Drosophila melanogaster: one gene and its partners. The protein of the gene in region 1 interacts with the protein of each later gene in a pairwise test. Each region holds a gene or a part of one and is shown on either strand. Other genes may lie near its edges.

Region 1 (11,063 bases):
TACAGAATTATATTTAAGTTTAATTTAGTTTCAAAATTTACAATTTGGGTATATTCTCTGTAATAATACATCCCATAAAATGATGTTGAATAAAAATGGTTCTTAATATTTATTTGAATTATTTAAAGATTAAAATAAATTAAAATAATAAATTGACATTAAATATGACTGGAAAATAAAACTTGAAGCTAGCTACTTTGCCACCACCAGGATTATCGAAAGGACTATCGAACCAAAGTCCGCCCCTATGCTTGATAAAGAAATTAATTTGCAGAAGTGAAACAGCCGCAGCCGCAAACAGAAGCAAAAGAGCTAGAAGTGATAGCATTTTTGTACTTTTATACAGTGCCACAAAGAAGCCACAGAATGACCGATCTGCGCAACGAGATGGACAGCGATCTGGACCAGAACTACTCCCTGAACAGCAATGCGGACCCCAAAAACATGCAGGAGCTGACCATATACGTGAGTAATGCCCGAACCGGGAACCACCCAGTAAATAGAGACACCAAATGAGCACCCAGTAAACCTGCCTCCTGTTATCAGGTACAAAATCTGTTGCAGAACGTTCAGGACAAGTTCCAGACGATGTCGGACCAGATAATAACGCGCATCGATGACATGGGCAACCGCATCGACGATCTGGAGAAGAGCATTGCGGATCTGATGAACCAGGCCGGGATCGAGGGTCAGGGACCGGAGAAATGAGATCCGTAGCGCTGGCACGGCCACGCCCATTCGGAAAGTGCATCCCAATACCATTAGATACATACATCGAACACCTGGCACCCAGTCACCCGTATCAAGTTTACAATTCCAGGTTCTCACATTCATTTAATCTCCTCCGCACCCAGCTGCTCCCCAAGAAATGAAGAAAAGAACACATTTGCTCATCCATTTATTGCTTAGTTTTAAGTTTCGCCCGGTCGGGGCACATCATAATTTAAGTAAAGTAATTCTTTTGTGAGCAATGGCCAATAATTTTGAATTATTGCCGTTTAGTTTCTATTTATAAATTAAAAATTCAAGAATTGTAAATTCCCTGCTATTTGGGTGTTCAGGACTTCGATTTAACAACGGTTACCAGGCGACCAGTTCCCGATTTGTGTTTCCTCACCTGAAAGTTTATTGCGAAAAGGGGAAGAGAAGCGCGTCATTTCCGCTTGATTAGTTATGATATGCATATATTTAGTATTGTTTATCTGGGACAAATAATGCAAATCGTGACCCGTGTCCATTAATAAAAAGTGTATGGAAATCAGCGCTGAATGGCAAGGAGTGCTATATAACAATCCCTACTTTTAAAAGGAAAATCAACATTGATTTGTGGACCAGAATGATTTTCGAATATTAATTGCAATTTGTGTTGCTTCTACATATCATGTTTTTTAAGGCAATGAGATAGAGAGTGGTAATACATTCTGATTAAATTATGAAAGGAAGCTCTGAGACTGCGGGGTTACAAAAACCAATTAAGATAAACCCTTAGAAGTATGTTCCTAATTCAATTTTATTTAAGCTCTTGCTACGATTCCAGAATGTGCCTGCAATACTGATGTGAGCTCTAGGAACTCTACTACTGGTCATAATTTGAGTGCTAGTGCTGGGGCACGTGGAACTGCTTCTGCAGCCTTACATGGGTGGAGGCCACCGCCTTGAATGGATGTTTGACCGTTTGTCTGCTGGGCTTCGAAGGAGCAGAAGTGGCACTGGCACTGGTCGATGGCGTGGCTATATCCTTGCTGGCAGATCGGATCTTGGCCCCAAAAACATTCTCCCGCGGAGGAACCTGGTTGCCCGGCTGCGTGGGTTCCCTCTCGTCATCCGTTGCCGTTCCAGATTCCTCGTCCTCTTCGCCACTTTGCTCGGTTTCCTTGGGAGGAATGGAGTTATTCTATCATTCCATAATCATGCCAAATCATACCTCATCTTCATCATCTTCCTCTTCATCCTGCTCGTCGGTTTCATCTTCGGGTTCTGTTTTACTTCCATGATTGATTCCGGCTCCCGTCAGATTCCTATTGCTCCTGGACAACTTCGGGCGCCTCTTGAGCGGACTGACCAGGTGCTCGTGCTCCAAGCTATCCATCGACTGGGAGCGCAGTCCCTTTTTGAGTGCAGTTTTCCTGGAAGCCAGCTCTTCTTTGGTCTTCATGAGTTTCTGAAACTCAATGAAATCGTCGCGCTCATCAATGGTTCCAATATCATAGTAGCTTGCGCTGAGTATCTCCAATGCCTTGGTGTGCTGTTTCATGGCGATCAGTATAAAATCGCTGATTATCTGCTTTAAGTCGCGCAACTTCCGCTGCTCGAAGTTGCCAATAATGTCGTCTATCTCCTTGTTTGTGCGCTGCACCTCCATTTTGGCCTTAAACAGCTCCGAATCGGCGGCACTCTACGGTAAGTTTTGGGAATTATATAAGAAGTAAATTGTTCGTTTTAATACCCACATTGTTCGCAGAAAACTTTGACTTGAGCTCAAGCATCTGGCGCTGACGTAGTACCTCCTTATCCCGCGCTATGACAGCCAGTCGAAGATTGTCCCTTGTGGACTTGCAAAGCTGCTCGAATTGCGCCAACTCGTTGACAATCTACATAAGTCAATAATATGATATAAGATGCAGATTTAAAAAAGGATAATTCACCTTGTGTTCCAATCGGTGTACATTGATGTCCATGTAATCACCCATTATGGTAACCGCGTTGGTGAAGCTCTTCAGTCCCTGACAGAGACTCTCGTTGATTTCCTCGTCGTCGGCGTAGCTCTTCACACTCTTGGCCAACTCATCAAAGGAGTCCCGATATCTGCAAGGTCTTATGATTATTCATTCAGATTTATTTATTTACCAAACTCACTTGGCCATTTTCCGCGTTACCAAAGCAAACGAAGAGCACATCTCCATTAGATGCCTTTCTGTTATGTTTATGCGCTCGTTTATTATTTTAACACGGTCATCTTTGGTGTTTAGAAAGGATAGTTTTCCACGACGAAACATTATTATTTTATTTTAGTCCCTTATATTTGTTTTCCTTCTTTATTTATTTTATTTCGACAATAAAATCAAGTGAAAACCGTTACCAAGGCAACGTCTAAATTCATCTGGCAACTCTCGTTCGAACAGCCAGCATATTTCCAGCTCTGTAAAATTAACAGAAATGTTAAGAACCTACTGCTGCCAGGTGGCGCTAGTATCAGCGTCTTCTGCAAGTACATAGATGGCGCAAGAATAAAGTTTATCAAGGAAATTTAAAACATTCTAAAAATATTCAATCCTAAAATAAATATCTGAATATGGGTACTTCATTTTTTTCCAACAGTGTCAAGGTCAAGAGCACGTTTCGTTATAATCTGTGAGTGTTTCTGTCTGTCATCCGGTGTCTAAATTTAAATTCGAAAGATTTATGACTAATTAAGAGACTGCAAATGATAAAGAAAAATATATATAATTAGTATATATAAAAAAATAGAAAATATACTACGATATTTACCTGAAGATCATAGCATTGTAAATAGTTTATTTAAAAACAAGTCAATCTGATATTTTAAAATATCGTTGGTCCTAAAAGCCAAGCTTTACTCACTTAAATATATGTAGGACTAAGCTGACTCAAATTCTTCTCACTTCGAAGCCTTGACAACCAAATCTTGTTTTTTGGGGAATTTATTGACTCGACCGCAAGAATGTTGTGTCAACGATTAACCGAAAATGGTAATTTATTTTAAATGCTCCTCTGCCACTTAAAGGCATAGTGCAATCAAACCTGTATTTAGTAAAACGAAAATAGCAGTTCGAATAAAACCAACGAAAGTGTAGTTAAAACAGAATCCGGTTCGTGGGACCACGACAAGAATTACAAGTTGTAGAGCATGAAGAGCAGCCTGCAGGAGATTTTAACAGCTGTAGCTGCGCCGATCGCGATTTCAATCTGGTCGAAAACCATAAAGCAACACGGCTCCCAAGAGGCAAGTTCAGGTAAAAGGGGGCAGGTGGACTTCATTGTCAATCCAAGAACGTAGCTTGGCGCGCGTTCCTTGTCGCTAACTATATCCCCGCCTCTTTCTCGGCGCTGTCGGCCATCCGCTTTGAATTTCTGATTTTTATACATACACCTCGAACTCCAACGGTTTTGGTCAAGGGACTGCACTGGAGGACATTCGCGTTCCGCTGGCGACATTCATTTTTGCTCCCACTGACGTGTCAATGAATATTCTTTTTGTAAAATTTCTGCTACTTTTTGGGTAAACAGGATGGGGCATCTTTGGTAGTGGATCTGTTGTAAAAATATAAAATTGAAAGTTCTTTAGTTATTTTTCTTTTTTTTTTTTAATTAAAACATTGTTGAATGCACATTTGGAGCACTCGGAAGACCCTTCTTCGCTCTCGTATTCTTCTCTGCGCATTCCTCCCTTTCCCGGTCTCTCTTCTCAATTCTTTGTTTTTTTTTGAGTGCCAACGACGTGAGCTGGTATAAATGAAGCCAAAATCGTACGCAACCGTTTAGTCCGAAACGTTTCATTAAAGCCAACGCACGTTGAAGATCGCGCGTTCTTCTCCGATCTTTCGAAATCGAGTGATTCAAGCGATCCACAGAAATAACTGTATGACACCGGTAACAATAATAAAATTTATGCAAATTCGCGGTTGTCGGCATGTGTATGTGAATGAAATTGTGTGCGTGAACAATTTCCGCTTCGGCGCTGACAAAAATGTTTACAAACAAACAATTTGCAGCTTGTTTAGGCTGTCTGGGCAATAATTTGGATGCCTAATTTACTTCACGCAGCTGTTTGCGAAATATTTACTTGTGCTCACTTTTATGCTGAGCCCAACATAAACAATAGCTTTCTAAAACTATCAGACATTAAAAATGCTATTTAAAGTTTATAGTTGCTAATTTTGAAGACCTTGAAAAATTTACTGTCGGGCAAGATATTTAAATAATTTTCTGATGTGCAAAAATTCCAGTTCATTTTGAGATTATAATACATTCTAGATTTAAATCAGTGTATAATTATACAAATTCTTTACGGCTTTTTATATTTATCAGAACTGTAATTGGGTGTTATATCGTAAGTTCTCTCGGGTCAAAAAGATCATTCATAATCGGATTAACTAAAGATTTCCAATAAATTGCCGATCTTTGGCATATTCGTTAGTAAAATCGTGATTAAACCCGGCTCAATCAAGGCGTGACTACTTTATCGATGGAATTAAAAAGAAGCACTCTATCATAACCATTTAATTACTGAGAATAGTCTTTAGCTCCGTTTTCATTTCCTTGGAAGAAAATTCTCAATAGCTGCCCATTAGGGAAATAAGCAAATGATGCTTTTGTTTACAGAAACAACAACCTTGAACTAAACACCAAGCGCATTTAACAGGTGATTCGAGCAGCCGTTGAATAGACATAGTTCCATACAATGCAATCGAAGTGGAATTGAAATACGAATGGGGCGACTGAAACATTCAGCAACTGTGACAGGGACACATTTAAAGTCTGAAATACAAATATAGTGGAATAGAGAAGCCCGCGTGCAGCTAACGAAGCATAGACAAAAACTGATTAAGTAAATTGAAAACACAACTAAATTTACAAAAGGTTCAATGAGCAACGGCGACTTTCAAACACCCTTTTAATCGAAATTTTAAAATATTAGTAGCAAATGCCCTTTTAGAACTGCTTTTATATATATATAATTATAAAGATAAAGTTATATTATATTATATTTTTTATAGTAGTAGATACAATAGTTAATGAACCAGTAAGCTATAACGGAAACAAAAAGGTGTAACGAAAATAAAAGTTAACTTAAATGTGCCTAAGAACATTACTAATACGCTGCATTCTGTACACAGTGGAGTCCCCAAATATTGTACCCAGTTGACGGGCACAGTGTAGCGCTCTTCCCACAACACTTGCCGCCTGCCATTTGGAATATTTATAAGCCCAGCGGCTAATTGAGTGAGAGGGAGAGCAAGAGAGCGGTCAGCTAGTCACTCACTCGGTTTCTCACTCGCTCACTCACTCAGCCGGCCGCCGTTTATTTGCCGCTTCCTCAAATCATTTAAGCGCATTTGACGATTGTTTGTCTTTCCGCACAGAACAAAACTGAACAGAATCGAATCCGGTTGCCGGTCCACATCAACGCATCAAAGCTTTCAGCCCTAAATAAACTATACAAATTAAACAAATTATAAGCTTGTGAAAAAAAAAAAACCAAACAAAAATGAAGCTCTTGTTCGGTTTGCTGATGACCGTGCTAGCCCTTAGCGGCGTTTTCACATTGCCAGGTAAGTGAAAGGCTTAAAAGCAATCCAATCATGATGCACTTCATAAATTAACATTTAAATGATTAATACTTGAAAACTAAATGTTAACTTGCCCTAAGTAATACGTATAACGGAACTAACTAATATGCAATTTGTACACATATGCAACATACATATTTGTTTTCCTTCTCTTTACTTTCTCATTTTTATGTGCACATAATTAGTTATTAAAAAACACAGTCAACCTTTTGACTTTAAAAACAAAGAAAATTGATAAGCACCGGGAATTCTGATTTGCACTCTTCTACGTAGTACGTTCCTCTTATACCTTCTTGATCTGGAATATTCTGGTAGAATCTTAAAGATTACCTCGATGTAATTGTGACTTGGAGCAATATAAATAAATTATTATGCATATAATACGTAATTATTAGTAAATACAATCTGTTGGATATGAAAAAATGTTTTAATTCCACTCTGCAGCAGATTAAAGTTTAAAGTCGCTGCCTTTGCCGGATAATGATGTCAGCATGCTGATAACAAAGCGTGGCACTTGACAATCAGCCAAATGCATCTTACAGATACAACACAAGTAACTACAAATGGCAAAATATCAGGAATGCTCGGCGCAGCATCGCAGATCCAGCGTCCTTTATTGTCATCATCAGCGTTTGCTGTTCGCTGCCTTTGGCTGCCACTTGAATGCATAAATTGCTGAAGAAGCTGCCAGCGAATCGCAGATACCCCCACAGATGGGCGGAATGGTGGGAGTGGGCGTGGCAGCGGGTTGGCAGCTGCCACAGCCACTTGAAGTTGTCAAATTCGTTGCTGTCCAAATCATTTGCCAGGAATATACAAATTTTATGCAACACTCGTGAATCACAATTTTTCGGCAAATCTTGCTTGAGAATCATCTTAGCAATGAGTGCTTGAAATTGCAATGAAATATTTCGTAAATTGATGAGACAATGTTTTTTATTACATATTTCAAAATACACATAGTAGCTACTCTAACTACTGTGCATATAAGTCAGATTAGTACTGTTTAAACATTTGTTTTCTCTATTTAATTATTAATGATTTGCGATCTGAACATGCTGAGAATAGAATCATATCCAATTAAAATAATTTACGTAACCAATTAAATCACGATAATTGTGGATATACTGGATTTATCTGCAGGCTAATCTATTCTGGATTATATATTTCAAATTTAAATTAATATTGTTACATTCTTCAACAAACTCGGAATCGGTTGAATGAACTGTCATATTATACACTCAAGTCATCCCAATTTCTCTGGCTGATTGCAAGTGAAATTCTTGAGCACTTTTCTTCGCTTGTTTTGTTTTCTTATTTTTCTTAATTTGGTTTTTTATGAGATCGCTTCATGTCAGTGTCCCATGGCCAAAAGAATTGGGTTAATTGTGGCCATAATTCGCTTTTAAGAACTTTTTCCAGGGAATGTCTTTCTCTGCCCCAGAACAAATTGCAATTGCATGTTCACATAAATCACTTTTTTTTTTCCTTTTTCGAATTTCTGCTGCTCGTACGTGGAACTATGTGTGGAGTAATAAAACTCAAAACAATTATGAAAATTATTGGTGAATTATTACATGTATTTTTCATTGTTGGCATTTGCCGCTGAATAGACGGGCAATTTGTTTAATTTAGACGGATATTTTGTTATGCAAATTGAAGTTAATTTTCGAGCCCATACAAATGTTTTGGTTAAATTGTATGATATATAGTGAGATAATTAACATTTTGTGTCTGGCCTAAATCAGTTGCAATTGTTATGAAGTGGAAATACTCACAGTTTTTTTATGGGGCAATAAGCTGGTTATGAAAAATTGGTGGTCATTTAATTGAAGATTAATTCAAGTCTTATTTCTGAATATGTAAGAACACTATCTAATTGACAATTCAATTAAAACTAAACTAAACGTTGATAACACAGATACATTTAAAGTTTTATCTGTTCTTCCTAGAAATCTAAGCCGACTGCTTAATTTGCGAATTTAACAGCCAAGTCAGAAAATGCATATTAAATTAAAGCATTGAAAACAAAGCCAATTGAATGAACAAATCATTTAAGTAGAAAACACTTTTGCGAACTAAATAAAATGCGTACATTTTGGGGTTTTAATTTAAAGTGACTTAACCTATTGCCTTGGAATTTTGGACTTTTGCGGTAAAAGAAAACAAATAAATTGAACTTTGTTCATATGAATTGTAAATTGAATTGAAAACAACAACGCCGACTGGCTACATATAAATTAAAATAAAATGTTTCCTCATTTTTTTGTTTTGTTTTTGGAATTTGAGCTGGCAAATGTAATTCGTTTATTGTGCCAAGGAGTTTTATTATTGGCCTTGTCACTTTGGCTTTACATTAATTCGTAGAAAATGAAATCAACAGCTTGGCACTTTTTGTTGGGTTTTTAGGTTTTACCGCAACGTCTATTGGCTTGTGTTAAATTAAACAATTAAATTAAATTCAAAGGAAGTGATAACTTTAGTTGGCTCTATATGAATTTCAAAAGATGCTGCAATTTTAAGAGGCAGTGAAACTTGTTATTTTTTTTAGCGCAACAAGTGTTTAGTTTGCAGTCCAATGATTAATCACTTTCAATTGAAACCCATACAATTTTAGACGAAAACTTTATCGTTGTATCGTGATTGCTATTTTTAATGGGTGAAAAAGTACACGAGAATGTGTTTGTTTTCCTGGCTTTGGTAATTGTAAGCCAGCTGAACGAAATGAAATTCGCGTTCGAAAATGAGGCGAATATTTACAAAGTTTAAAGCGGCTTATGAATAATACTTTATATTCCAAACTAGCCAGGTAGCGTACATTAAAAATGCATTATATTCATTTGAATCTGCGCATTTCTCATCTCAACAAGTGTATAGAAACTAGAAGCTTACGGCAAACATGAGTCATCATTGGGCAGTTGTAAAAACAAACGAATAGTTTAATTAAGCATTTTTTTGTTGCTGCTTTGTAAGTATTTGCCTAATCAACAATGAAATGCCAACAACACGACCGTGAGACAATAGATCAGCCGACTGGCCAGAGACTCTGGACTCTCAATGGATCGCCGGCTAAATTGCAATTGTCAGATGTCACGAAGGGATTAAGTGCAGCCCCCCCCCCCCTACCCCTTTCGTCCGCGTCCCTGTCCAATTAGACGGTGACTCGAACTCTCGTCGTCTGTGATTGAGAACTACTGCAACGGCAGACTAGAAACCATCAGAATCAGCCACTTTGGCTCTGGTTCAATGTCACGTAATCGCCGCAGGGCCTCCCTGGAGGGTTATAACCCCCCCCCCCACTAACCCACTCTGCCACGCCCCCAGGCCCCTTTCACCTCGCAGTTTGCCGCCTCTTTATGTTAATTTATGTGCTGGCAAAATGTGCAAGCGCCTCTAATGCTCAGCCACGCATGGCGCAAACCCGAAATCAGAAATAAATTACAGAAGGCAGTCGCCGGAGAAGCAGAGGCAGTTGCTCATAGTCAGCACAAACTGGGGGGAATTAACACGGAGCAATCGCACCAAGAAGGTTATGCGGAGCGGAGTGTCAGTAATCTTGAAATCAATTCAAAATCTAATTAGCTGCATTCGGTTTTATCAATAAAAGATCTTAAGATCACTTATCACGCTTGAAGGTATAAGTTTTCCTAATTATAAAGGAGATCCTGAAATCTACGAATTCACGAGTTAGGAGCAATCGCACCAAGAAGGTTATGCGGAGCGGAGTGTCAGTAATCTTGAAATCAATTCAAAATCTAATTAGCTGCATTCGGTTTTATCAATAAAAGATCTTAAGATCACTTATCACGCTTGAAGGTATAAGTTTTCCTAATTATAAAGGAGATCCTGAAATCTACGAATTCACGAGTTAGGCCCGAGTGTAAACATCGTGATGTACAGGAATAATTGTATATTATAATGAAATCCCGCACATTACTCAAATACTCGGCAGGCAGTTGCAATGTCAACGCAATGCAGCTTTAAACGATTTGCGAAAGGGGATTTGCGGATGGTGAATTAGGATTGCATGCATATAGCAAGGCCAGGGGGGGGGGGGTGGGTGCTGTGGATTGGCAGTGGGAACGGGATCGGATTCACAGACCCGTCAGCAGCTGCTACCATATGTGTGTCCTTTTGGCATGGCTGTGAATTTAATGAGATTCCTGTCAAATTAATTTCCGGTTATGATTAGATTTTCGTTAATAGCAATTTGCGGTTTTTGCAGGCACCCCAAAAATATGCGAACCTCAAATTTCATAGCGCCCATGCCATCGCCATCGAAGTTCTCCATCATTTATCCTTTCGATTTGATTTGGCATTCACATGCAACATTGCAACCATGCAACATTTGCAATGATTGCAGAAAGTGTCGGCAGCAATTATCTGTCCAACAAATTGTGCTCATCATCGTTCTGAGTCCCCTGAATCTGCTGCACAATTGATTAACATTAAGTAGTTTAGTAATCGTAAATCATGTTCAGGGGCTGCACCCACAAATCCATTGCTGCCAGTGGAATTTATGAAAATTTTGCATACTCGTATCTGGCCAAGAAACCGAGAAATCATTTGGATGGATGCCAAATTGAGGCTTTTGTGGAATGGTTTCGAAGTTATTCGAGCATATCAATTGAAGCTTACTTCAGATTCTCAGAAGACATTACACCAAGTTGCTTAGTTTTTTGATCCTTTTGAGTGATATGGGGGTACATAGAATATTAAAACTATCTTATTATTACAGATACCATATAGGAC
Region 2 (11,063 bases), on another chromosome or scaffold:
GTAAAATGCAAGCCAAATTGAGGAAAAGTAGAGTTCTTTCAACTTTTGGCTCTTCTCCTTCACTTGCTTTATCTTTTCCATCATCAGTTGAGATGTGAAAACGCCCACAGACAGCACCCACAACCCGTATGTGTAATACCCCCACCACCCAGCTATCTCCATTTCCCATTTTCCTTTTTCCCATTTTCCAGACCCACCCACACTCGTCTTCCGACAAAATCTGAGCTCTCTATTCCGTAAATCTGATAGCTGCCTCCTCTGTCCAATATTTCTTACTGTGCCCGAAGATCTCGATCTCAATCGCCGCTGCTTATTGTCGTTTGTTTATCCCAAAGAGCTTTTCTGTGGGCGTTGCAGTTTTCATCTTTCCCCACCCACTTTCCCCCCGCGTTCAGCCCCACTGCGATGTGGTTCATTGACTAGACTTGTCGCTGTCATTATTGCTGGGTCGTCTGTCGCTAAATGTACTACACTCAAAAAATATAAATAAATAAAAAGAGGCATCTCTGGCAGAATTCCCTTCCATTCCGTTGTTAACCCGAGTGGCAGTTGCAATGCCCATGGGAATTATTAGATAGGTTGTTGGGTGTCAAACACTTGAGCATTTCAACGTTTGATCGGAATCGCTGGCAAATGGCCTGGGAAATGATTTTCCCTATTTTCCACTCGACACACTCGATCTTGATCGGCATTATGACAGACCATTTAACACTTGGCGACACATCAATTTCAATCTCGGTCGCTCATTCATTCGACCCCCCCCCCCCTTCACCGACCCGTCTCGATTTCATTTCAATTAAGTTCAATTCGAGTTATGCGGCAAAATGCAGCTCATTTTTTGTATGTTCTTAAGTGCGCTTTTTTACCCTATGCCAAATAGGATTAAGTACTTTTTTAGGCGGGGTTCTCAACTCAAATGGTAAAGACACTTGTTACAATAAAAAAGATCTATGAATAATTGTTATATGTATATACATATAAACATTTATATATGTATATATATATATACGTATATATTATATTGTATCACTACAATATCATTTAGACTGGAATTTATAGTAGAGTATCGGCGATTTCGGTGCCCTGCAATCTTGTTATATTTTCTTGGAGCCCTACGCATCTTGTTCCTCCTCTTTCTGGAGTTCGAGTGGCTCGTTAAACGCACGAGTGCCCAGACGAAGAAATGGGAATCTGGAGGCGGAGACTTGGGGGACCTGGGGGACTTCTGGGTCTTTGGGGGCTTGGAGTGACTCTCGCTCGATGCAGCCATCGAACGTGCATCGGCATTGGGTTTCTTTGCCGCTCACTTTTCAGCCATTTTCACAGACCAGAATCACAGGCATTTGGTTGGGCAAACAAAGGCAAGCGGACAGGAGCCATAGTGGCAGTGGTTCCAATATGACCAATATCTATAGCCAAGCTTCTTACCTAATCGAAAATATCTTACACTTTCGTTGAGATATTTAAAAATCACTGTTTAGAGCATCTAATTTATATTAGTAACGCCTGAAACTGTTTGCATATTCTTTCCCACCCTATCAACTCCCTGGATCGTCTTGGCCAGGCTCCACTGTACGCCTGTCCACACATCCAAGGGCATTCGTTGGTGCCGTGTTGCACTGTTCCATAAATAGCCGCATCTCTGCTCTTGACACGCTGAAAACTTTTGAAAACAATTGACGGCATTTGAAGTAGCTGGCCAGGTTTACCGCCTCCCATTCCACATCCATTTCCCCACCACCCTTGTCTACCCCTGCCCCAAAACAACTTTTCACAGGGCATCTTCAAGGGAATTTCACGCATCCAAAGAAGCATTTTCCATTCGTTACGATTTCGAACTTCTTCGGTTTCCACACACAGAAAATTGTTTATCTTTAAACCCGATCCAAAATTCAGAAAATAGCCATACAAATTCGTATCTTTACAGGGGTAAATAAGAACCAATGGGGAATCAAAAGTATTATCAATTCAGATTTCAACATATACACATCCATCTGTTTTTGATCGTTTAATCGATCAGATTTTCAAAATCTGTAAATTTAGCTTTACACAACTTGCATTCGATTAGGCAGACTAGACAAGATGTTTTAAATAACTACATATGTGTATATGTTATTATTACTTCAACCGCAATTGTTGTTAGTCGATGTCAGTCTAAAACTTTGATCTCTGAAATTGATCTGACATCCCAACACTTCTCTGCTGATATGTAGGCCCAAATGCACCCTGTCTAGATTTACGCATTCTATTAATAATACATGCATAGCCGAAAACATCAGACACTTAACCCCTTTTCAGTAAATGGGGAATTTGACAGCTTTATGCACTGATTTCCCTAATTGCCATGAAAATTCCACTCCCACTGTGCACTGCGCACAGACGAGGTCAGAAAAGTAGAGTCGGTATTGCTGAGAAGTGAATAGTAATCAAAAACTTCAGTGCAAATAAAAGATAAACCAAAACCATTATACATTCATTTGAATTCTACTACTTGACTACTTGCTACTTTCTTGACCGCTGCTGTACAACTGCACATAAACGCCCCCACATCATGCGAACAATGAGTGAGAGAAAACATATAGTAGAACATATCGCTGACATCGGGCAAAGGGAACGACAACCACAATTGCGGTAGATATGTATGTATGTACATAGATGTGTATTCATTTGCCATAACAATGAAGTTGGCTCCTAATGAGTTTTTAAACGCTAGGCTGCGGCATTTTTAATTGGAACTAACCAACGAAAGCCTTCCATAATAAAAATTGGAACTGCAACTTGGAAAACTTGGAATGCGAAAGGAATGCACCATGGAAATAGCAAATGGAAATGGAAATGGATGACTAAACTTAGACAATCGATGAGCGTGATTTTTCCCAATGCAACTAATTGAACGCCATTTGGGGAGAGTTGACTGACTTAACACTGTATTTGATTGTATCCATTATATATCCATAATATGCCAATATTTTCAAACTGGCTTACTTGCTATAATTGGCTAGTAAACACTGTATAATCCACTAACAAAATAAAACACCAGTTGAGGTGAGCTCAGTGAAAATTTATAAATATTGCGTTTATCTTATCACGTTTTATTCTAGATGTCTGTATGTAAACATGTGTTTGCTAGTCATTGCTAGCTGAATGAAGTGAGAAAAACTATTGCTCACCAAATTGTGAATCGATTAATAAATGCATATAAAAATATTACACTCCATATGAACCGGCTGGGAATATATTCCAATTGAATTTAATGGATATTAACAAATCTTACTGAGTCATAAATGTCTTAGAACATAAGTGATTAATAATATAATAATAAGTATGATGATAACATCTTGGGATCAATGTAATCTTTTACTTTAAGACGTTACTGTGTTCTTTTAATTTTAATCAAAAATATGACCATTGAGAAGTTATTGAGATAGACATCAAATACAATTGAAAAGCTTATAATTGACCTCGTTTTCTTGCGGTGTAGCATAGTAAACATAGATTCCAATAGGTCGTTCGGCCAAGTTAGGAGGGCCGTAGCCCGATATCGGCGACACAAATGTTCATCGGCCACTAACGACATGTCAACCAGGAGAACCGTTAGCTGCGGTCACGTTGCCCACCGAAGTAACCAAGTTACCAAGTTAAGGCCAATGCCAAGTAGCCAAATGGCCAAGACCAAAGAGCCAAAGACCCAAGGCCCAGACCGATCTGCAATTGGGATTGTGCTGGGTGGTTTTGGGTGCGGCCACACTACACAAGCTGAGAAGTAGGAACAAAATAGAAAACATGGGGCAAAAAAAAAAAAAAAAATAATAATAAAATAAAAACACAGTCTACGCCTACCAAATACGGCAGTCGCAACCAACAACCAACTCAGTCCAAACTCCCCAGTCGAAAAGCCAAGAAAAAGTTGATGAAAAAAATCCAAGGCGAAAGCGAAGCCAAAACAAAGTGAAGTGGGCAAAAAGGAAAGGAAGCCGCCGCCGTCGACTTTCCTCCAAAACCGAAACCAAAACCATCGGAAAATACATACAGTATGTACATATATACATACATATATATTTGTACATATACATACGTAGTTACGGTGGCCAGTCAATTTTCTTGTCGGCGGAAAAGCAGCGAAGTGGGCCCCACGTAATGGGGCAGCCTATCGAGATCCCATATTCCAGATCCCAGTTACCAGATACCGAATGCCAAATACCAGATAAGATCGATCCAGCCAAATGCAATTGGCCCGTGGAAAAAAGGGAACCCAAATGCACTGTAAGCCAAGATGTGGAGTTGTGCCTAAATGTTAATATTATAATATTCCTAACATTCTTTAAACTAATGTCATTCGGTTAACTGGGCCTGTAGCTAATCAACCGCTTATCTTTAAAGGTCGTTCTCGTTATCAATTTGGTATGATAACTTGAGCCATGTTATGATGTAGGCTTCGTTTAGCTATGCATCATAGATATGAGTTACTAAGAAATTAATTAATAATTCCAAATAAAAGCTTAACCGAGCGAAAATGGTGGTGATCTGTTTTATCTTTCGTTGATTGATGATTTCGAAAATCTCACAAACATTACATCATTTCATTACGTTCATATTTCCAGGAATTTTACTGTGTTCAGTATTGTCTTTTTTCAGTCAAATTATGAGAATACCAGAGTTTTCTGGGAATGCGTTTTACGCATTAGAAGTAAGTAGTGCCAATACCAATACAATACAATACAACGGTGAACCCCTTTGTAAACTGCTTCATCAACCCCTTGATGTTTTCGTCTGCTTCTTTTCTGATTTTTTTTTTTTTTTTTTTTTTTACAAATTTGTGTGCAGCATGGAAAGAGGCTTTTACTTACGTTTGGGGTAAATGGGTGGTCGGCATTTAACCGCCTCAATGCCACTGCTGCTGCTGCCGTTCATCGTGCTTATGACGCTGGCCACGCCCCCCGCCGCTGTAGCGCCCATCGTGGGCGGTTGGCTGAGCGGGAGTGGCGGGGGCGGCGGCTGATGCTTCATGGTCGCCGAGGGGGGCACATTGCCGCCGCCGAAGAGGCGACGCTGCGGTAGAAACGCCGTTTTGCCGCTTGTGTTGCAAGTTGCAGGTTGCACAATCCGGTGTTGTTTTATGTTTTTGTTGTTACTGCTGCACGTTGCCAGCTGCTAGTGCTGCCACATTAAATTGACACTAAAAGTTAATATAAAATGGGCAACTAATTTATAACATAGGTAAGTACTGAAAATATATATATTTAGTTTTATTAGCGCATATTAATCGGTTATAGTTGCGATTTTTGGGGGGATTAACTCCCACACTTTAATTACTGTTTCATATTTTTGTTTAATTGTGTTCTATATATTTTTAAACCTCACATTTCATTTGCGTGCAAGTTTGTTGTTCACTAAGGGTTAAGCTTAACAGTAACTTACGTACACATGCTTATCTAGTGCTTATCTCACTCGATGAGGTGCGAGCGGGAGGGAGGGTGGTTGGGAGGCAGGCAGGGTGGGCAGTGCGAAAGAGAGCTACTAACTGCAATATTGACTTTTTAGGGTTTCTGCACACACATATGCATAATATCAAATGCATTTGCGATTGAAAACTGCATAGTCAATGGGTGGAAAACTAACGGTGCAGCTGCTTCACCTTGACCTACACGACCACAAGTAACAGTGAGATGCACAATACACTCACACACACACACACAGCGCCAAATCACCGCTCTTACACACACGAAAAATAATAATAAAAAAAAGGCTCACGCACTTTGTTATTAACTATTTCCGTTGTTTTGGTTTCCTCTTTTTTTTTTGTGGCAAAACGGTATGAAATTTCACCGAAAAAAAAATTGTCGCGGGAAATATTCCAAACTTCTAAGGGAATATTATTTACAATAACAAATATGGTTTTCTGAGCGGAGTTTTGAAACATACACTTTCCGCGCGCTTTTACTGATGCTTCTTCACCGCCGTCGCGTCGAGATCTGATTGCAATTTAGCTCTGCTCTGCTTTTCCATTTCCAAAAACATTCGAACCGAAAATACCAGCAAAAATACCGAACAAATAATACTGCTGGATGAAAGGGTCTTACTTTGCGCCATTTCACTTCAACAACTTTATTCAAACTTGAGCCTCTAAAAGTACATTTGAACAAGAATAAAATTTGTTAAAAATAAGAATGGTATTTAATATGAGTCCATAATAATAATGATATGAGTGCCATTATCTCAAAAACTAGGTAAACATTTTTTATGGCAACTACATTTTTCCTGAAATGTCCTTAAAGAAATGTCCTACGAGTGGAGATATACCCCAAAGAGTGGGGAGTCGATTTTTCTCTAAACTTAGGTCGAACATAGATAGTTAGATCTTTTTTTTTTTAACATTTTTTGCATTTATATTGTTTAGAATTCACCTATAAATAACAAAAGAATATATAAATAAAAAACTGCCCCATGTTCGATATTCCACCGTTCCGGTCAGATATCGTAATTGTATTAATGTTGTTTTTTAAAGAAATTGTATTGTAGACCGAATAGAAACTAGGAAAATGAGAGAGTTTGTTTCTAAACAATATTGTAAAAGTAGTTTACAATATACCTAAAAAATACTGAATACGCAAACTTAGTCTCTCCAATTGTGCACACTGACACAAGCTGGCAGCTGTAAAATTGCAGCGGGTGCTCAAAATGTGCAGGCTGGCAAAAGCAGAATGTCTTGAAAACCAAAAGGTTAAAAGGCTTTTCAAGAAAATTGCTTTTAAAAATTCAAAAACTAAGGAAAAAATTACAAAAAAAATAATTTTAATCAGTGATATAAATGATTAATTGTTTCAAGAAAAACTTTCGTGACTAAAACCCTTTTTCAGCCCGATTGGAGGTCGCAGCATTGGCGGCTGGATTTCTGATTTCTGGCCTCCGTAGCACACGAACAACGCGCCACAAACTCAGTCGAACTTAAACGGCGCTGGCAATCGGACGCGTTTTCGAAAACTCGCTCTCTCTGCGATTTCATTCTGGTTTTTTGGGAAAGTGTAAGCTCGATGAGATGAAAAGAAGAATCCATTGAAACGCGTAAATCTTCCTTTGTCAATTTGTCAAGCTCGCGGCATATTTGTTTCAACAAGTTTTCAGTGCTAATTTGTTTAATCGCGTAGGCTCAAAGAGAAACTACCCAAAAAAAGAGGGAGAACTTTGTTTTGCTTTCTGTTTGTTTGCATTTTTTTTATGTGCTCGAAATTGAAGCCCGGCAATGGCAGCCGCCTGGAACAATGAAAGTTGATTGAATATTTTATGCAAATTTCCCATTGCAGAAAAAAAGGTGCGAAGAACAACGAGAACAACAACAACAACAACAACATCAACGGCAGCTGCAAGAATAATAATAGAAATTGCTGTCGAGCAGAAAACTGGAAATCCAAAGGCAGCAGCAAGAAATCAGGTGAATACCGAATACCTGTCTGTTTCTCGTGGGAAAGTTTAAGATCAAGGCCAGGGGGCCTTACCAGAATGGGCTGGATTGGGCGGACATGGGCTGGTCTGGTGGTGTGGAAATTGGGTGGGTGGTGCAGGCGCGGCCTTGCGGCCACTGCCAAGGTGAAGGTCACATTGCAGGCGAATGTCGGCGGGCCTGCACTAGCATTGTTGTTATATAAACACCTCCCACTCCACAGCCCCGCAATCCAGCAGCCAAATGGCTCACTAACCCACTGCGCATGTCGCCTCCTTCGAAGGCCATCGCATGACCTCAGGCCCCGCCACGCCCACTGGCCTCCCCGCCTACTTTTTCCGCACAGCAGGGGGCATGATGATGGGGCATGTGGTACAACATACATATGTATGTACATATCCAGGCATACTCTCACAATGTTCTCAATTCATCATACACTAGTCATTAAAATGCATCACTGATAATCGCTGAAATTCTATATGCACGCAAAGTGATAAGGATTTTACATTTATATTCTAAATTTAGCAAAGCGGTTAGTCCTCGAAGCAAGATTTTTTTGAAATAATAATTTCAAACTGTAATACTTAGCTCAACAGTATTAGAATTCATTGAATAGTATAATAATGTAACAAATGTATATATTTCATAACATTTAAATTGTTCTTCTTTATATCTGCAATTTAAATTGGACTGTCACTATTTGCTTGGCCGTAGGTGTGTGCTGCCCCTTTTCGGCAGGCTTTTAGCATTGAACTTGACAGTGGTGGTGAGCGCCTTTAACCAGTGGCTGCCCACTTTTAAGCTAACAAGGTTAGTGGGTTAACTGGCCTGCTCCACTGCTAAGACCGCTCCCGCTCCTTTCCCCCCTCCAACCTGCTCTCCACTCGCAACTCTTGAATCCCCCGTCTTCTGTCTGCTGCCTTCTTCTGCCTGCTGTCTTCTTCTGTCTGCTGTCTTTAGTTTTCTGTCTTCGGACTGCAAAGAGTCATGAGTGTTTCTCCACGCCCGGATTCGGGCAAACCCGTTACCATTAACCCGCCGATCGGCTTTGCCATCGCTCTGACCATTAAAAGCCACTTACACTGACTTTCCATGCTAATCAAAATTGAAGCCCAAAATAAGAAGAAATTTGTTTGCCGCCACGACATGTCTCGACTTTTGAATGTTTCTCTCGCGTCTCCAGTGGATTTCGAACTGGCCAGTGCAAGTGGGCAATGCGAAGTGGATGGCTTCTTGGAACTGGCACCAAAGTGGAGCTGGTGAAATTGAGCCACTCCGGCGGTGGGGAGATGATAAACTCGGCGATTTCTTATCAGGTTTGAACCACACTGAGACAAATCTGGGCATAAATGCCAATTGGGCATTGGACAAATACTTTGGTGGGCAGATACTTTTTAACTTAGCGAATAAAAGTTACGTTTAGTAAACAAAAAAAAAAAAAAAACGAAGTTATTATGTGATATATTACATTAGCGATCATATCTTAAGCAGATATATTGCAATAGCTCTCCAAAAAGTCAGCCCCTGAAAATACAATAATATTTCGAAGAAATGCAATGCTTTAAATGCAAATGCAGTTTATTATTTAAATGCAATTGTTATAACCACAAATGAGCCAATCCCCCGAATCACCGCCAAGATCGTAGATCATGGAGTTCTTCAACTTCAAAAGGTTCGATGACTTTGTCCGTGAATTGCATTGACTGACAGATTGATGGACTGATTGATGGTGCGGCAGATTGACAGCCAGCCGGTTGGACAAACTGAACAAATCGTGCCAGGTTTACGTGGGGTATTACATTGGGATACCGAAACCCATGGAGGCACGCCACGATCCCCAGCGATCCGATAATTGCGCCCCGAAAAGAGAGCGAAGGAAAACAAAGAGGCGGTGGAAAACTGAGGCTGTGGAAACTGTGGAAAAGTAAATAAAAAGTGCGAGACCAGTTAAATGAAAAGCAAAACAAAGTCATTAAACGCCGAGTGCATGGAAAAAAAAAGAAGTCAGCAAAGCTGAAAACTGAAAACCGAAAACCGAAAAAAAGCGGAAAATTACCGAGCAATAATAGAAAGAGTTGGGTGAGTTTCGGAGCTGATTTTCATTTTCACTTTCACTGGCCGGCGGGGAAATGCGGGGAAAAGCGGGGAAAAGCGGGAAAAAGCGGGGAAAAGTTGCGCTCTGATAAATTGCCAAGCGGCCAAAATGGGAAGCCACCAAGTCACCAATCCACCAAGTGGGTTCTAAAAAGCGGTCACAATCCGCTGGCTCGCAAATGAGTCATGTAGAGATGACCCCAAAAAAAAAGGGGGATCAACTACATACCTCATTAGATCAACTACCTACCATATGGATTTAAATCGCACAAAAATGATACAAAAGCATAATATCATAATATAGATATTTACAATTGGGGTCAGTAACTTTGAAGTTGAATCTTAAACTAATATTTAATTCTTTTATTGGCATATAAAAGGAAAAAGGGTTGTTATTTTATAGAATAGACTTTGAAATTCCTTTGCTGTGCTGATAATATTTTATATTTATTATTGAAGTGCGTTTTACAACATAGTAATCTGCTATGTTGCTAAAAATAATGTGAAATAATATATATAAGTTAAATAGAAAACCGTTTTTCCATGGGAATTTTCCGTGATATCTTTGCGTGATTTCCGGACCTCGTTTTTTTTTTGTTTTTACAAACTGGCCTTCTCGGCGATCCAATTCCTCAGTTTGGAGACCCTTTCGTAGCCATCGGGCGCAGCTCGTCCGCAGCCACCGATGACGAAACTGGCCAAGCCGACCAGTTTGCCCTGGTAGGTGGCCGGACCACCGGAATCCCCGTAGCAGGCACCCTTATCCTTGGGATGCAGCAGGCACATCGTGGTTTCCGGCAGCTGGCGTAAGTACGTCTTCTGGCAAGATTCCCGGGATAGGGCCTTCACCTGCACGTAGAGCAGGGAGTTGGAGATCGGTCCGCGCTGGGAGATGGCGCCCCAGCCGGAGATGTCCACGGTGGCATCGTTGGGCGGATCTTCGGTGGCCAGCTTGATGGCGGCTATGTTGGAGTTAAAGGTCAGCGAGTTGCGAAGTCGCAGCACGGCGACATCGTGGCCATTGGAGTTGTAATTGGGATGCACGGTGACGGTGGCCACTGGAACGCGAACTCCTCCGCTGGAAAGGAGCAGGCTGCCCGCCTGAATCTCCAGCTCATTAGCTGGAGCTCTAAGGGCAAGCACTCTGATTGAGAAACGCGAAATCCCGAAGATTCAATACCTACACATTGTTGCCTTGCTTAACGCAATGGGCGGCGGTGACAACGTAGTCCTTGGAGATTATGGAGCCACCACAAGTGTGGCTTCCACGTCGACGTAGTGAGATCTGGTGAGGAAACTGACCCTCCCTCGCCTTGGTGCCGCCCACAATGCGGGGCTCCACTACGGAATCGTTTTGTGCCAGGACTCCGGCTGCGCAAAGGACGAGTAGAGATGTCCAGAATGGTAACATGACTGGTTGGGCTTAGCTAACTGAAAAGCAGTGCTCACTGCAAGTTTCACTGGATGTATATATATATATATGTATATGTATGCATATATACTACCCAAATCTAAGACGCTCATCATCATT
Region 3 (11,063 bases), on another chromosome or scaffold:
AATCCCATTTGACTAGTCAATATTGCATGCGATTGATTAATTAACGTCGAGCGTTAAAACAATTTTTTAAATTACACATAGATCACTATCAATTACGCATACATGCAATTACGTTTATAATCCTTAGCAGCATTGGTGTATTGGCTAAAGTTTCGGCCATTTCGATCTAGAGTAAAGTATCTAGTAGTATGCACGTTAGCATGGGTATCTATGTATGTTTCACATTAATCGGGGACTTTATTTTCAACAGTATCTGTGAGAGAGGTAGCATAAATCGTTACATACACCGTTGGTTATTTTCGATAAAATAGAGTTCAAATGCGAGTACATCTAGCAACGTGGGAGTAAGTTTGTCATCAAGGGAGTATGTGCACACACAACATGCCTGCCTTGTAGCCAGCCATTAGGAACCGTCGATTTGCATTAATAACCTTCCAGCACTCAGAAGCCGTTGGGTGCCCCTATCGCATCGTATCCGTTTCGGTATCGGTATCGGTATCTGTGTCGGTATTACATATATCTGTAACTGCATATGCATCTGTATCTGTATCTGTATCTTTATCGTATCTGTATATCTGTGTTTGCATCTCAATCCCTACTTACTTAATTAACGTTATGCTGACTTTTGTGAAAGCGGTAGGGAAAGGACCAGGGCACGCGGTCATTTGCATTAACCACCACCAACTCGTTTGGTTCCTCATTGGCCCAGTTGGGCTTGTCCTCCAGCACCTCGAACCGTTCCAGACCCAATCCCACACCCATTCCCAGGCCGAGTCCCACACCTTCTGTTCCCACGTCATTGTAGCTATCCTCGCCCTCATTGTCGCCGTCATCCACATATCTCGCCGGGTTTTTACTGGCCCCATTGCCATCGTCGTTCTCATGATTCGTTTCGTTGGCTTCATTTCCGCTGACCCGATGCCTGGCCAGACTCATTCCGGCCACGTCCAGTGGTTTCTTCGCATAGCTGAGCAACTGCAACTGCTTTGGGAGTGCCTGGGATTGTGGTCCAGTCGATGCTGATTGCTGGGAGTCCGCAAACTGTAACTGTGACGACTCCTTGTACGGCGACAGGGCCCATCCGTAGCTCCACAGTTGGCTGGGGAAATGCTTCCACGGCAGCAGCTGTTGACGGTCCAGCTGCTCCTCACGAACTGCATCCCTTTCCCTTTCCCTCTCCCTCTGCCTTTCCCGCTCCAGTTCCCGCTCCACTGGCCACTGCTGGCGGTAGCGCCTGCTCACCTTGGGAGCCAATCCTCCTGCTCCCGATCCTCCGCCTCCTCCTCCTCCTCGCAGCACGACCCTCTTGCCCACGTTCTTCAGGATGGCGCGATTCAGTTCGACCTGGACACAAGAAAGGTAACACGGTTCACATAAAGTTAAGTAAAGTAAAATGCTGTTAACTGCTGTAAAATGGTTGACAAATTGAAATGGAAGTGGGGTAAGCCCGGTTCTCCCTTATCCCCATGGATTTTCCATGTACTTTTCCCGGCAAAGGGAAAGCTAAACTAGATTGACATGCATGATGGATGACCACATTCAATTTGGATCACAAATCAAATGCCAGTGCGTTATTACATTAATCGAGGATGAGGTATGTGGCACGATTACATTTTAAGCACTTTAAGATACTTTAGGAGCAGCTTTAGTTGCTAAACTGAAAAGCCACCAGATACTTTGCCTAATTACTTTATAGTTACTTTAAGTCTCAGGTGCTTGTATAAAACATACTTTAATATTTAAAGCCAAGATGATTAATCGTTGGAAATGTATTTATACCTTTTCCTATCTTTTAACTTAATACTCGGTTTAGCTTAAATCCAATTTAAGTGTAAATGCCAACTTGCAGTTTTCACACCTTGGAAATTCCATTCTTCTAGTGCTTTGGATATTTATTTAAATTTCTTTCTGTTTGCCAACCACTTTGCAGGTCTTTTAAAGAGTCAGGTGTTTGCATTGAGCTGGGGATTCAATGTCTAACTCGTAAGTTCGGGTGACATTGCATTTTTCCCTTTATATTTTTGGCCATGTGAAAGTCTATTTTCATCTGCTGGGAATAGTGCACAAACCGAAACGTGATCTATTCCTTTAAGCTGTGAATAAGTATGTCGATTCATTTTGTTTGCATTCAAATTCAAGTGGTGAATGCTATTTCAGATATCTAGCTCCATCCTAACTTTTAAATACACGTTTCTAAATGTAACTTTCCTTTAATTGTGTGGTATTAAATTTGACAGCTTGCCGTTGAAAACCTCATTTTGTTTCTTTGAAATTTCACTTTAATTTCACTCCATTTTATTTCCCTTTTATTTGCCAGTCTAACCCAGGTGTTTTCCGAAAACATTATGCCTGCTGAAGCTCATCTTTCTCCGATTCGGATTGCTTTCGGGATGCATGGATTAATTTATGAAACCCCTTTGACAAATCAATAATGTTATCTGGCGTATGTGAATAGGTAGGTGGGCATGCGGATAGGCACATCCATGGATGAACATGACCCTCTTTAACGGAAATTCGTGGGAGGAAAGGTGAAGCTATCAAGGCAAATCGTTTGAATTCCTCGTATTAAAACGTTTGATTTTTTTTGTTTTTAACATTTTCGTTGGCCTTTTTGTCTTTGTGTGTGCGCCTTTGGGGGATCGGAACGTTTTGGTAACCAAATAAACTCGCTTTGTTACCGAGCAAAAATATTTGCGTTACACATACGCCATGTTGGCTTTGTTTTTGGCACTGAGCCGCATGCATATACGTATGTATATTTTTGGGTGTCAGGGCCATCCGATGTGCTTAAGCCTCGATTTCGGGTTCGCCAGGATGTTGTTTACATTCCAGGAGCAAGTAGGTGTGTGGGCTGCACAGAGTCTTACCATTTGGGTCCTTTGGAAATTTATTAGATTCGCTAGCTGCGATGAATTAAAAAACTTTCTGCACCTGCGTTTTATGCGTTTTTATGGCTTTCGAAAAGTATTTCTCATCAGGCATTCTAGTTTTGATTAGCCCGCTACATTTTCATTTATACCTTGCAACGCGACCTACTTTCATTCCCCTTAAGACGCGGCATTGTTCTCCGTTTGTCTGGGCCATACGAAGCCAAAGTTTTGTTTTACCCTCCTTTGCAGCTTATTAAAAATACTTGGCCAAGTGGTCAGCCATCCCCGTTTAATATTGCAGAACACGAGACTGACCTGGCGGGAGTTCTCCTTCATTTGCCTGCGTGCGATTTCCAGGAGCAGACGCTGGCGCAGCACATCCAGCGGATTGACAATGGACAGCGATGGTTTGTTCCTCTTGGCCAGCAGAAAGTCATCCTAGAACGAAATACATACATATTTAGTACGTTAGATTCGCTGTTTGGCTGGAAGAAGTTTCCCAGCGCATGGCATAATAAAATCCTGACGAGGTAATGCAAAAAGTTTTAAGTCCCTGTGTTTATATACAGTTCTGTGCTCGAAGTTTATTCTTTTTTTGTTTTGTTTGTTGATGGAAATTAAAATTATTATTAGCATCGATGGTGAGCAATCTTAAGGGCCTCGGCTATCGCATATTTTTTATATCACCTTTTGTTTTTCCCACAATTCGGGAAATTATCGTTACACAAAATCTTGCAAGCTTATCGGTGTGTTGTTCTACGTTTTTTCCACGATGATCAATTGGGAATTTCGTGATAACAGCTCTTCACTGATAAGTGTGAAAACTTCAAGCTAATTCATGACTCACACGTAGCCACAAAATAAAATTCAAAAACAATTACCTTGGGGGGGCGGTTAAAAAACACCTGATACTATCACTTTACGATCCGCCCAACAACGCATATCGCAATTTCTTTACACCACATGAAAAAGGGGATTTGGATTTTGCTTGATCATAAAGAAATTACCCGAAATTTATACAGAGTCTGGACAGGTGCTTCTTTGGAAAAATTTAAATATTATCTTTTATTTGTTGGTGTTCCTTCCAAGAAGTATTTACGTATCCTAAGTTCAGGGCAAACAGTAAACAACCAATCCGAATTCATGTTCAGATAAATATGATAATTACGATTATTGTTGGTCTGACTATCAGACAGGTTACCTGCGATTAGATAAGAATGTGGCAGTGTGAGGTCGAAATGTCTGGCAGTGAATGGAAGTGGTTATCAGCTTTCTATAAAAGCTATGTCCATCTGCAGAACCCGGTAGTATAATCGAAACAATAGCGAAATGAAGGTCCTAACTCTTATCCTCTTCACTGCCTTGGTGGCAGTGGCTTCTGGCCGCCCCAATGGCGGTTGGTTCGGAAATTTTGGCAGCAACTGGGCCAGGAGGTTCGGTTGGGGCTCCGGTGACGATGAAATCGTGCAGGAACAGAGGTGGAATAGCCAAAATCAGTGGAATCCAAATGGCAACGGTCAGGGTCAGTGGGATGGCGAAAATGGTCAGGGACAATCTCACGGAAACAATCAAGGCCTCGGCCAAGGAAACGGACACGGAAACAACCATCATGGTCATCATGGCAACAGTCATGGTCATGGTAATGGTCAAGGCCACGGTGGACAGCGCCCTCCTCCACCACCACCAACGGATCTGCCTGAGTTGACCACCGAGGATGATGTGGTATCCACCACGGATGTTACCAGTCCCGCGGAGGAGACCACTCTGGCACCCGAGGTTCCAGAAGAATCTACCAGTCAGGCACCAGAGGAAATCACCACCGGCTCTGAAGAAGGCAGCGGTTCCTCGGAGGACACCACCACCCTGGCCCCTGAAGTTCCGGAGGAATCCACCACTCAGGCACCGGAGGAAAGCACCACCGACTCTGAGGATGGTAGCGGTTCTGAGGATACCACTCAGGCTCCGGAAGAAACCACCACCGAGGAGCCTGAAGAATCCACCAGCGAGGCTCCCGAAGAATCCTCCAGCGAGGCGCCCGAAGAATCCACCACAGAGGAGCCCGAAGAATCGACAACCGAGGCGCCTGTAGAATCCACAAGTGAGGCACCCGAAGAATCGACGACCGAGGCTCCCGAAGAATCCACAAGTGAGGCGCCGGAAGAATCCACTATCGATTCTTCAGCGGTCTAGGAAGTTAGTTTCATTGTTACCAAGGTTTCTGGTTCATTTTCTCAATAATCGTTTAAAATTTGGCGTTTCCGAGTAACAAGGTTATTAAACAAAGCGTTATAAAACGAAATATGGTGCAAATATTAAACTGTTATAGCTAAATTATTAACATGTTCTCCCAGAAGAGCGTAAAACCATTTCTAGGGTTAGGATTGAAGCCTCATGAACCCACATCGTGTTATTATGTCACGCACTCGCCATTTAGTTTTATAGCTCCAACAATCTGAACAATTAAAACAACCGAAAAATGAAAAAATCCCAAGTCACGTTTACTTATATGACATTACTCAAAACTTTAAGGTTCTAAACGCATTATAATGCTTATCACTTAATTGAACTTTCGCTTTCCGAACCATGAACATTGGCTTTTTAAGCGTTGCGAGCCGATGATAAACTGATTGATTGACGTACATACATCAATCAATGAATCGCTACTTGACTGATTAGTTGGCCAATCGACCCTTATCGAAACATACATATGTATGTACACATGCCCATTTGTTCGAAAGAACATATGTTTGTGCCCAACGATGTGTCATTTATGGTGGTACAAATGGAAAATTTCGTAATTGGCCTTTAACGTCGCCTCGGGGTTGTATTTTTAATTCTGCCCCCATCATAAAACATCATTTCATTTCTTTCAGTAAATAAAATTAAATTGTTTACGTGTCCTTCGCATTTACGTGCTTAAATCTCCAATTTGGCAAACGAACTTGCCTCGCACTCCAATTCCAGCGAATAAAGAATACAGAATAAAGAATCAACTTAACAAAATTCGAACTTCTTAAAAAGCAGTGGTAAAACTTTTGATTGTGGACAACAGGAGTTGGCCAAGACAAACAGCATGTTTGGTTTTCTTTTTTTCTTCCTTGACGTAAATTTCCATTTGTTTTTTAAAACATAAAAAACCCATAGACTCAAATCAATTTTGTTGCCATGTTCGTGTGCGTTTGGGAATTTATACGATCTTTTTGTTCGACCGAAGAAGTTTTACATTGAGGTATTCGAATTGGTCAAGTGCCTAGATTAGATTGTGGCCAAAATTCAGATCGAGGTACCAATAATGTGGTATTGATTTCGAGGAAATCGGAGAATGAAGATTTGCCACTACTATAAAATGCCTAATGTACTTCCCATGTATGGATAACTCTTGATAAGAGCTTAATCTTTTAGCAATTTAATATATCCGCGCTAAATAAACTGCGTATGAGATATTTTTCAATCTATTTGGTTTTAAAGGGTTGTGCGGAACCCTTTGCGGTCACATTTTCTGGCTTCTTGTAAAAGTTAACGCATTGTGGCGAACAATGTGTCAATTTATGAACCGAGTGAATGGAACCAATGAAGGTTGTCAAAGGAGCGATGAAATCGCCCGTTTGCGAACTGCCGAGCCAATAATTGAATATGCATTCGGAAAACATTCAAACAAGTGACGCAAAAACTGCTGTCACTCACTCACAAAGGGAGACAGCCAGAAAGAAATGCACACCAATGGCCAGGACTATGCCCATGCCCATGCCCATGCCCACCTGTGAGTTCCGTGTTCCATCCGGGTAGTCCAGAGGATATCCGTTTGTGCGGCCGCTTCCGCCGACCTCCGCTCCACCCGCTGCCGCTCCCGATCCTCCTGCAGCTCCTCCTGCTCCAACTGCTCCTCTTTGGGCCGTGCAGACGAGCCTTGTGGCACACAGTAAAGTTAATAACACCGGACAAAACCACGCTGTGGCTTTCATCATTCTGCAAAAAAGGAGGAGAAAAAAAAACGCACAGTTGCATGGGTCAGTGCACAATTCATAGATATGCATGTAACGCCAACAGTTTCAGCATAAAAAAATAAATAAAAATCTATCAAAATGAATGAAGAACGTGAGTATTAGTGTATATATCATATCAACCAACTCTGCTAAAACTATGCATATTTATTTACAGTACTATAGGTTATAGGGTATGCAAAGTACCATACGCTATGCAAATTTGATCTGTTCATTTGCGTGGAAAATTAAGCTCATCTGTGGCTATTATTTTTTGAATATTTTCCGAGCCACTGTCTTGTGCAAACTTTGACCTCCGCCGTTTTCCCACTGGAATAGAGTGAAAATAAAATGCTGACAGCTAACCTGTGAAAAATGCGAAATATTCTGACAACAAGAAGTGCTCTCATATTTTATGGGTCACGTAAATATGTGGTACTTCTGAATGTGGCAGTGTAGTTCTTTATGTACTTCCGAGTATGCACCTATATATTTACATATGTATGTATATCAATCCCATGTCCCTCTGGACTCTTCAATCAGTTGGCAACTGGAGTCGGGGGCAATTTGCACGAGGTGCACAGAGGAAATTAGGTTCTAAATTGAAGACGGCGACGAGTAAACGGCAGCACAACTAGATTATTTTCCTGTTGCACAGCTAAAGTTACCAGGGGAAAAGTTATTTCCAAAAAGAGGAAAAGGTGCTTAACTTGGAAAGAAAAAGTTCAAAGATACTTTAGGCACATAACAGCCCATGAAGATACTCTACTAGAGTATCATGTATCTATTAGATTGTTTCATTTTCTTAGCCGCAGACAAATAGGTGATTTTTCAAAGTCTAAAGTAATCCCTGGAAGAGCATTCACCAATTAATTCAACATAAACGAACGTTTTTTTTACTTTTGATCTATAAACAAACCCGTGTAAATGCATAATTAAATGAAAACCCTTTGGCGCTTTCAGGAGTTTTTTTTTTTTTTGTCCTCCTTTCAGTTTCTCCCATATTTATTTAACATATTTTTCTTTCCCCTGGTTTTCCATCATAATCCTTTCATGAGGTCACTTTTAATTGCGTAGAACAACTGAAAGTTTCACTTTGGTTTTCCCACACCGACGCAATGTAAAGCAACCATTGTTCTCAAAATGAAAGTTCCCTAATCCAAGTAACTTTGTGTAGCTAACAAAATTAAGTAACAATTGCCACAACAAGGAAAACTTCTTGCAATTTAGTGTGTGCGTACGTAAAAGTTTGAACTGCCATAACTCAAATTTCTGCATTACACAAAATTAGGTTTAACATTCCTAAATAATTTATAATCCCAAGAGCGATGGCAGCTCTAAAGTTAAACACAAATTGGCAATTTTTAAAAAGAAACCAATTTCATTACAAACTCTGTGCAAGTGAAATTTACACATGAGTTTTCGGCAACTCATCAGCAACTCAAAGTTGCACTATGAAAACCTCCCCATTTTGGGAATTAAGTCGGCTCCTTTGTTTTCGGTGAGGGGGAACGGGACATACAGCTCATATAGCACCTGTCATCGGGAGCATTAGACATCGCAGATAACTAAGTGCTCGAATGGCAGCCGCATTAGTCCATGCCGGCAATCACATGTCATATGGATGCCATTCGGCGAACGGGGATTTACGAATCCGCATCTGAATCCGGTGGAAATCCGTGGGTGTGTGGGTTGCTGGCACTTTCGGCAAACGACAATTGATGGCTATTGATTTCCCCTAATAGATCGCCTAAATGCTGGAGAGAGATGTGATGAATCTATTCCTGGTAACAACCATCGAAGTTGCAACGGAAATTGCAATCCAATTGAAATAGGGATCCCGAGGGGAGTGAGTAGTATTCCCCAGCCGATATAATGAATGAATTTTCTTACATTCTTACTTTTGAAGTTGAACAAATATTGATTTTGTGAAAGTAATATGGAATTCAAGGCAATAAAACTGCCCTGCCCCACTGAGGATTGTGCTCCTGACAGCCATTGTCATACATTTACTGGGCGACTCTGGGACTCGGAGACGGAAATCGTGATTGCCCAGGGCTACTTGCCAGGACGTCCCTTCTTGTTTTATCGGCAATTCAAAGGGCGGACCGCGGCACAAGGAAATGAAATCCCTGCTATCTATGCCACCAACTCGAGATATTTACATGCGTATGCAAATACGAGTATGTGAAAAGTTTTCCAGCTCTGGCCGCTTTAAAGGCCGTAAATCCCATTTGATTAGGCCGTAAAAAAATCAGCACAAAAGGCCAATCATTTGGGAATCTGCAGCTCAGGGGTGGAGCAAAGAAAATTACCAGGTGTGATTGCCGACCTTTCGCTAAGCTTGTTTGCAGTCTATTAGGTTTCGTCGGTGTGTTGTTACCTGAAACCGAACACAAAATGCAAAACTAATTAGCCTAAACGTTCTTCGGGCCATCAATCAAGCTTGCCGCCACCTTTTGGGCCATTCAATTTGCGCCACATTTCCGTTGAGGTTTTCGCCCGAAATCTGATATGTTTTCGCCAAAAAGCCAAACACTAAACACCAAACTCAAAAACATAGAAACAGCACTCTTTCCCAAAATTATCACATAAAAGAAGAAATCACCTTATCAGTGGTAATTGCCTCTAATTTCGCTGGATCTGCGGAACTCGGATGCACACTCGACGGATTGATTTATGACGATCGAGATACTGGATATTTCGCGTGGGTTTTCGAATTGTCTTATTTTGGGAAAGAGCCCCCCTACTTTTATGGCTTGTTTATCTTTTTTCTAATTTATTTTATGTATTCACGCGTCGCGTCGCGAAACGTTAACTGATTCGGAATCTTGAACTGTTGCTGTAGCTTGTGGCTTTGGTTCCTCTGATGGATTTTCACCCAGCATCGAAATCGAGGGTCGAACGCAACAGGCTGACGACGAGCGGAGGACTCACGGAGTATAGCGATTACGGCGTGTTTTTATATTGGGCGCCACGAGGCGCCCACACGAAGTGCCGGATCCGAAATCCGAGCACGAAGTCCGAGGCGTCAGGACGACAGGACGACGGATGTGGGAGCCCGAAGAACTCGGAAGGCAAAGGAAGGTGCTGAAGCCACGCGACGAGTTATGAATGAAAACGTGCGGGTACGGCATGTTGCCAGGATGATGGAAATCGCTCCGGAATCAGATGAGGCGGGTCAGACCGCGTCGTTTCGGTCTGCAATCCTCACTAATAAATCACCAGGGTGTGCGAACGCATTAGGAAATTGACGGATTGTTGCCAGTGGGTGACCCGAAGCCCCTTGGTTTCGAAGTGGTGATGGTGACCTCCCACAAATCAGGTGCTTCAGCAACATGTTGCGCGAAGCCGCAACCCCGTCAACTCTGTAATTATCGAACTCAATTAATATTTAATGAGTTTTATTTGCACATTAATTGTTCGATTTAAAAGTGACGAGGATGCGGACTCCGGAGCACTCGATGTCATGTCAAGAGGTGCTAACGTGGCCCGACATTCCGCTAGGACGGCAATCGGGCGTTAAATTGCTCGCCATAAATCCGTCAAACGTTAGCCACAGGGATCCCTGGCCAGGAGATGGATTCCACGCAGGAGGTGCTCTGCCTGCTGGGTGTTTCGTCTTATTTTGGACCAATCAATTTTTATTGGGATATGCGAAGGCTAACAGAGGCCGATATCCTTTCTATTTAGGCTAAGAAAAGCAGCAATCATTACTGCTGATTACCTTGAAAACGAATTCAATTACCATTTATATCACATTGCTATCCACATTGTACACACAGCCAGATAAGCAATTTATAATTTGGGACCCCCCAAACTTTTCATGCCATCTACATCAACTAGTTTGGCTAGCCCACGCATCACTCAAAAAAAGCAACAGTGTTGCCAGCATTCGCAATTGTCCTGCGTCCTTGGGCGCGTTGATCACCCACTTTGACATACTTTTTAATTGCTTGGAACACGTGTCTTCGCCTTTTATGTATGCAGAATGTGCATGCGTCGGCTTGTAATTAAGCACGTAGGCAAACGCCTCCATTTCCTGCCCAGCAGGATGCTTTATGGCTGATTGAATTCCGTCAAAATGCCACTCCCGCCAATTTATACGTGCTTTTATGCGAGCTGTAATGCTGTTTTGGTAGTGCGAGGCAATTTTAATTTACTTTTAATTTTTAATAGAGCAACTAGTAAAGTCTAGCTACTTGCCTGATTA

Evidence for each region.
Region 2: the proteins of vir-1 (region 1) and Septin4 interact in a two-hybrid assay, tested with the Drosophila melanogaster proteins (one large-scale study listed by BioGRID).
Region 3: the proteins of vir-1 (region 1) and Fst interact in a two-hybrid assay, tested with the Drosophila melanogaster proteins (one large-scale study listed by BioGRID).

What each region holds. Positions count from the first base shown.
Region 1 is NT_033779.5:12,416,871-12,427,933, reverse strand, and holds the start of vir-1 (virus-induced RNA 1), read left to right. Parts: upstream 1-4,494; 5' UTR 4,495-4,611; intron 4,612-6,071; exon of another isoform or gene 6,072-6,104; 5' UTR 6,105-6,229; coding exon 6,230-6,293; intron 6,294-11,063. Other genes in the region: CG5446 (uncharacterized protein), read left to right, coding at 367-465, 547-708; Fam92, read right to left, coding at 1,598-1,873, 1,925-2,395, 2,451-2,591, 2,646-2,805, 2,857-2,996.
Region 2 is NC_004354.4:16,689,196-16,700,258, forward strand, and holds the start of Septin4 (septin 4), read right to left. Parts: upstream 5,979-11,063; 5' UTR 5,923-5,978; exon of another isoform or gene 5,419-5,922; intron 5,225-5,418; exon of another isoform or gene 5,177-5,224; 5' UTR 5,008-5,176; coding exon 4,848-5,007; intron 1-4,847. Other genes in the region: CG9676 (uncharacterized protein), read right to left, coding at 10,133-10,661, 10,717-10,943.
Region 3 is NT_033777.3:9,639,264-9,650,326, reverse strand, and holds Fst (frost), read left to right. Parts: upstream 1-4,172; 5' UTR 4,173-4,199; coding exon 4,200-5,060; 3' UTR 5,061-5,349; downstream 5,350-11,063. Other genes in the region: Dh44 (diuretic hormone 44), read right to left, coding at 604-1,344, 3,186-3,308, 6,629-6,835.